Schizosaccharomyces pombe: one gene and its partner. The gene in region 1 interacts genetically with each later gene. Each region holds a gene or a part of one and is shown in the gene's direction. Other genes may lie near its edges.

Evidence for each region. A genetic interaction does not mean that the proteins touch.
Region 2: of toe2 (region 1) and SPOM_SPACUNK4.15, changing one suppresses a phenotype caused by changing the other (phenotypic suppression), as found in Schizosaccharomyces pombe (one study listed by BioGRID).

The regions. Positions count from the first base shown.
Region 1 is NC_003424.3:1,019,614-1,023,372, forward strand, and holds the start of toe2 (protein toe2), read left to right. Parts: upstream 1-2,056; 5' UTR 2,057-2,303; coding exon 2,304-3,194; exon of another isoform or gene 3,195-3,233; coding exon 3,234-3,759. Other genes in the region: oac1 (anion transporter), read right to left, coding at 1-961.
Region 2 is NC_003424.3:2,880,414-2,884,143, reverse strand, and holds SPOM_SPACUNK4.15 (2',3'-cyclic-nucleotide 3'-phosphodiesterase), read left to right. Parts: upstream 1-1,962; 5' UTR 1,963-2,151; intron 2,152-2,200; 5' UTR 2,201-2,412; coding exon 2,413-3,039; 3' UTR 3,040-3,181; downstream 3,182-3,730. Other genes in the region: BRCT domain protein Mdb1, read left to right, coding at 1-602, 655-960.

The DNA.
Region 1 (3,759 bases):
AATCCTTTTGGAATTTCAAAAAGAGTTTATTGGTTTGCTCCACGAAGGTAAGACAGAAAATTGTGTGAGGAGCGATTCTGGCCAAGTGAGCACCAAAACCCTTATATAAGGCAAAGAATCCTTCAGAGCGGATTGTTTTAAGGATGCAATCAATCGGATTTTTATAAAGCTCCTTGTTCTTTTGGTTGTACATACGAGTCATAACAGTATCGAAAATTTGCATGGTGCAGCATACACCAAATCCAGAAACAGCACTAGCAGTTAAGTGTTTGATCATACCCTCTTCCAATAGATTGTAATGCTCAATCATGCGTTTAGCCCAATTATAGATAGGAAGCTGAACAGAGGAACCAGAGACAGTACGGAGAATGGCAGCATCAGCACCAACAAACAAACCCTTAACACCATTTTCCTTAATAATACGACTGAATGCATTAAATATATGCTTGTAACCATACTGCTGGCCAACGGGAAATTTAGGAGAATACGACTGCATGCGAGTCTTAACCAAGAAAAAGGGAGAGCCAAACAAGGCACCACATAAACCTGAACCGGCGCCACTTGCAACGTTAATAGCTAATTTATTACCCTTGGGATCATCAAGGAACCACGTATTCAGAGTACGTCGAATCGGTTCGTAAAACCCGAGACGACAGCCATTGAGGCAGATTTGATAAACATAAGCAGTACCAAGGCCTCGTTGAAGACCTCTTATACCTTCATGTCTAGCGATTAGAGAAAATGCCTGACCGACGCTTTTGTAAATTCGCTTAGAAGGATCCAATTTTGTCAATTGACCTTGAAGTTGAAAACGCGTTTTAATAACTTCGAAAGGATTTGTCAGTGTTACAGCACCACAAGCTGCAAGACCACCTGACAAAAATCCACTAACGGGACCAAGTTTTTTCACCTGAGTAGGATTGTGTGCAGGAAGGGCTTTGATAGTTTGTTTCTCAGACATGACTTAATATTGGGATTTTTTCTTCGAATTTAAACAAAAAAATCTGCCTCAAATGGCAATTCAATTTGCGTAGCAAGTGTTGGCCGAAGGAAAAAGAATTCTTGCAGTTGAGATTTTTTCAGTGATAATAGCCTTGATTAAATTGTGCGCGGAAAATTTACCATTGCGGCAATTTGGGAAGGCAAAACGTAACTTTCGTACGGACTCAAAAAATAAGCAAAATGATACTAATAAAAAAATTATAGATTGAATTGCAATTTTTTTATTTACAAGGCACCCTAATTGCTCTATACTTTTTCCATTTTAATGCTAAATTAAACAGGTCACATGTTACTTATGTTTACTATTTGAAAATACAGATACTAGAACGCACTTAACCTCTTTAAATTAAGGATTTACCTACAATCATATATATTTTTTTTTTCTTTCTCTGTCCTACAAATATTTGGTAGAATTTTAAAATTTTTTGAATAAAAGTCATTTGAAAGTTTGAGTAATGTTTGTCAACAATAAATGCGATCGTTCGAAGGAAGGAAGGTACACACAGTTAACATTTAACTGACTTTACACTTTAAAATAGGATTCGTTGGAAACGCATGGTAGATAATGTTAAAGTAAGACAAATGCAAAATCATAGTAGCAGTAGCTTTAGATGTCATTCACTTCTGCAATGTTGTACTATTATAAAGAAAATGCCATAAAGTGATTCAAATAAGTGCATGCTCTCAACCGTCTACCCTTAACCAAAGTTCTTACTCAGACAATTAAGATGCCTTTTAGTAAGATTTTATACATACGGGGTATAAATTGTGATCAATGAAAAAAATGCAAGTACTAAATTTGATGGATAGTTTGTCGCAAGGCAGGCAATTGAATTTTGAAATAGAAATCAGTCATATTTAAGAATGGTAATTTGTTAGTAAATGCATTAAATCCCTGTGTAAATTATATGTTTCTATTTGAGTGCTTTACGTATCTAACGCATGTTATCCGAAAGCTGTCTGCTGTTGAGATTGCTTACTATTGAAATTAGTGGATATTTATAAAAGTTGTCCAGTGTGCCTTGTGTTTGGTGTTACGAATTTACTTTTCGCCAACATCCAAACACAAGTGTCTTTGGTTCAAAATCAGTATAGCAATAAGATTTAAAGATATAATTCTTGCCTATTTAAAGCCAAGACTACTTTTTTATATATTACGGAATTAACTTCTTTTCGCTCCTGTCAATTGGTCGCAAGTATCATTTTTTTGACGTCTATTGATTCAAGAATTAGAAGAATCTAGCATTCAATTGTACTTTATCTTTCACAATATTATATAACTTGATGTTTAAGAAGAGCATATGAGTGAAACAACCAAGTCTGGTTCTAAAAAATCAGGGCAGACATCACGTAGGGCGATCCATTCGTGTTTGGCTTGTCGAAGAAAAAAACTTAAATGTGATCATGGAAGACCTTGTTCCAATTGCTTAAAGCGATCAACAATCCAGTCATGTATTTATATAGATCCTGGGAAAACTAATTATGACAAGCGCTTTGAACGGGGTAGCGAAGCTGACGAATTGATAGATCAGTTACTATCCCGAGTTAGCATGCTGGAAAAACGTTTAAATGAGGTCGGCACTAAATCGCAATCTGATTATGAAAACCAACAATCTCATAATCTTCCTTCCACGCCTTCGGCAGATGCTGAGACACAGCGAAACATTGGTTCTCTTTCAGTATTAGATGATACAAAATCACAATATGCTAACTACTCGTCCTCTTCACACGTACTCTGGCATTTAAGGAATTATCATTATCTTAACTTAGATCAAGATATTCAAGAAGAAAACGATTCTCTGATTAGTCCGTTTTTTTTTCGAATATCCCCCAATGAATCTGCATACGACTATTTACCCCCCAAAAAAGTATCGGATATTTTAATTGAGCAGTTCTTTTTTCGGTGTCATATGCTCATTAATGTTTTACACAGACCAACTTTTTATGTACGATATAATGATTTTTGGGAAAAACCGCACTTGCGAAAACCAGCTTTTACTAGTTTATTATACGCAATCTATGCTAGTGCATTACTAGCTACACCTGTTGAAGTGCAAAAGACATGGGCGCTTGGTGAAGACGAGAGATATCTTCAGGTAGATTATCATCAAGCTTTTCGCTACGCACTGGCTTCGTCTAATTTTCTGTTTGAACCAGATCTTAATGCTTTGCAAGCTCTTGTTCTTTGTCAGGTTTGTGATATTGAAATGGGTTTAACTAACTCAATTTAGGTTGTCTTTGATTCTGACCGCATTCGCGCTCCACCTTCCTTAGTCGGCTTGATTCTTCACGTAGCGCTATGCATGGGCCTTCACAGAGATGGCTCGCTTTATGGACTTAATCCGGTAATTTCCGAGATTAGACGTCGTGTGTGGGCGAATATAGTCTTGTCGGATCTTAGAACTTCTGAAACTATTGGTTATCCTCCTCAAATTGTTGAGGGAAATTATGATACACGTCTTCCCTCTGCTTTACCTGATGAAATTCATAATGTAGATTCTTCCGTTATTATTTCTGAGGCCACTTTTGTTAACATTATCACGAAGGTTTCACGAGCATATTCAAAGTGTTTGAAAGTTTTGCTAGGCATTATAGCTCCTAATTATACACGTTTATTAGAGCTTGACAGGGAGCTTTCCAATTTTTTTAAAGAATTGATAGAAGTGAATATTCCAACTAGTAATACTATGCACGAACGGCATATTCGACTTTTAGTTTCCTATTTGTCAAACAGATTCCCAATTCTCTTGCATTTTC
Region 2 (3,730 bases), 1.9 Mb from region 1:
AAAATGAAGAAAGTAAAAGAAGTGCGCCGGAAATCGCTCTCAAAGAGAAGGAATCCACATCCCAGGATGAAAGTAACAGAGAAGCAGAAGAGGCACCAATTTCCACTAATTATTCTTTCCCCTCATCATCTTTAGAGGATCAACCTGACAAGAATGTGCAGTCCTCGGCAGTTGAAAATAAAAACAAGCACACAAATCTGGTAACGTCGAGTTTCAACCTAACTAAACCGATGAAAAGTTTTATAAGGAGAAATGGTCTAAGGGTGCAAGAAAGTGTCACAGACGAAACCGACTTTGTCATCCTTGGTTCACCTCCACTTCGGAGGACACATAAGTTTTTACTGGCGACTTCTCTAGGTATACCACTTGTCTCTTCTCAATACTTGACAGACTGTATAAAATCAGGTAAAGTTTTAGATTTTCGTAGCTACAAATATAAAGACGAGGAAGCAGAAGCCAAGTGGGGATTTCGTTTGGACGATATCCACAGAAGAACGTGTTTCAATGGGAAAAGACTATACATTACAAAGGCAATTCGAGATTCGATGGTAGGGGATTCTATACACGGACTTTACTCAATTTTGGAAACATCTGGAGCTGAGGTAAGTGAAAGATGGAGAATATCTAGTTATGATAGGCTAATGATTTAAATAGATTGTTGGTGATATTAAAAGGGCTCAAGAGAAGGACACAATTATACTTGCTCAACCTGACAACGATCAAGAAGGACGGAATATGAGTGCTACTGGTTTAAATGTGTACAAGATTGAACTAGTAGCTTTATCCATCTTGCGTGATCGAATTGATTTTGATGAATTTTTGATTGACTATGATGCTGACAGTCCCACCAAAGTAATTGGAAAAAGAAATGTCTCAAAGGCATCCCGAACCGGGCAAGGAAGAAAACGATCCTCTCGTTCATCTTGGAACAAACCAAGTGCAAAGGAGCAAAGAACATAAAATTAAAGGTAAAGAGGACATCGTTTACTTTGTCTATTATTTATTTATAGAAGTATATTTGCAAACATATATTCTTGAGTTTCTTCTATGAAGGAGGACCATTAGAAATTATACAAAAATAGAATTTTAATAATGATATTAAATAAACGAGCGTATTTAAGGGCGAAGGATAAAAAACCTACACGGTTATTTAATGAAATATGCGATCTGTTAGTTGATTGTTAAAATCTTGAACCAATAAATTCAAGATACTCAACATAAATGAATCGATTTCAATACGCTTTTTTTTCTATTTTCCAGATAATGTATGAAAAAAAATAGTTTGACCAATTCCCGAAATTTATAATTATTACATCTCAATTAAAAAAACAAATAAAGAAATAAATAAAATGATATGAAATGAAGTACAAAAGGTTAATAAAAATAAATAACAAATTTCTACACGATTAAAAGATATAAAAGGTAAAAATCTTTATGAGTAGAAAAACGCATATACTTATTTGCGGTTTTAAGAGGAAGTAAAAGGAGGTAATTCCGAAACATAAAAATAAAGGGGCCTCATTATAGTGCTTCTTTTTAGTCTTGCAATTTTATTTTATTTTTTGAAAAGGTTTAGTTGTTTGTTTATTGACTACAAAACACAGCAAATCCACTCGTCATATCAGATCAAGCATACCGCATATCTAACAAATGATTCTGCAATGCATTGCACTTCACTGTATAAAATTTATTCATAAAATGCGCAATATGTATATCAGGCACTTATAGGTTTACCCAAATATGCTGTTAAATGGAATACACAGTTTTTTGCGCCATCTTACCATTTATAAAGCGTGAATTTAGAGACCCGCACATGCTTCCGCACACGGCCAAATGAGCGCTAAACCTCGGACGAGAAAGTGACCTGTGTGCTGTTTCTATTTATCGCATCGCTACGATGACATCATAGTGTGGTGAAAGCACCAGCTGTTATAAGCAGACCAACGAACCAACTCACTGTTCAACAATATTAATCAAGTTCTATTTCTTATACAAGCAATTTGGAAAATAAATCAAGTGTTAAATACATTCTTTGCTTGAGTGTATTTTATATTTTTTAGTGTTCTGTCCTTGCAATCGAAAAAAGCGCATTGACAGGTTTCGAAGCGAACAAGGAAATATCGGTTTTACTCTTGAAACAGAAATTTAACTGTATGTGAAAATTTTTTTTGGAGTTTCATTTACTAATAAAGAAGAATAGTGTGGTATTAAAAAAAATACGCAAAATATTGACTACATATTTGTTGAAATAAATTGGCGAAGGATTTATACGTATTTTATATTTATTTTTCCTCTTTTCAACACCATTATAGCGTTGCATACAATTTTCACTGCTGACAACCTTTTAAATTTTTTTTACTCTTTATTTTTTCCAGCCCCTTGTAATTAGGAAATCTAGCTTTCTCCTTCATCATGCCCCAATTTTTCAGGACCCAGCCTTTGACCGATAGGACTACAAGTCATGGTTTTGCTGAAGTTTCTTCCGAAGACCATTGTTATTGTGTTTGGCTCGTACCTGCCATTTCCTCTGATATTGAGTTGAGATATCGAACGTTTGTCGACTGGGCTGTGTGTCACAAAGTCGACTTTGAAGAAATGCAGTTACCTACCGCTCCTCACATTACTTTAGCTCGTGGTATCAAGCTGAAACCAAATCAATCGTTTAAGAGTGTTTTGCAATATATCGCTTCCAAGCGCAAGTCTCCTTTGAACATAAAGTTCGGCAAAGTCGCTATTGGGGATTCCTTCTACAAACGTGTATATATTCAGGTAGAGAAAACTCCCGGCTTGGAAGAATTGCAAAATGCTGCTTATGACTTGGCCGATACTTCTGATCCTTTTAATGTCATCGAACATCCCTATATGCCTGTCATTTATGCAAAGAGTATTTGCTCTGACTACTCTACTTCCGACCCCATTGAGACGATTTCTTCAATCGGTCAAGCCAGTTGGGGAAAGGCCTGTTTTCTTGAACTCATTCAATTAAACAAGGCCAACCATCAAGGATACGTCTGTGATCGTATTGAATTTACCGTCTAATCATTTGCTTTCCAATCTTTTTTTTTTTTTTCTTATTGATACTTTGCAAATATACCTAAACAAAAAGAGATATAGCAGGATGATACCTAGTTATTTCGCTTTAGTATTTTAATGAAGATTTAAAAAGCCTTTTTGTAACTTTATTTATTTTTATCCCTTAATGGTTTTATTAAGGTGAAAACAATCTCGCTTAAATGGATTATTCAAACCCTTAATTTTTTTTGCTTCATGTATTAACAATTTCTACCTTTATAGTATCTTTTTCACTAACTTAAATGCATCTGGTGATCACCTTTCCTGCTTTACTTTTAAACTTTGACTAAGGAAACTATTTACTTGTCTGCAGCTACTAAAAACAATATTTCGCGTTATATAAATTACCCATGTACGTGATTCAATGAAATAACATGCAGCGGTAACTATTCACACGGCGGAACCTTTCTATATCAATAAATAGATCATAATATTAGTTAACTACTACGTTGATATGGCATCTCAAATACTTATCGACCAATCCTTTGTAAACATGACTTATTTATTTATTCATTTATCTACCTTTATGCTTCAACTAACGTTTTCTATCAAACAAAAGCTGAGAATAGATGTAACATTTCCAAATTTTATCTTACATAAGAAGCATCAACAACTATCGTCATCAGGATTTCACAAATCACGGTGTTTTGTAAAATCA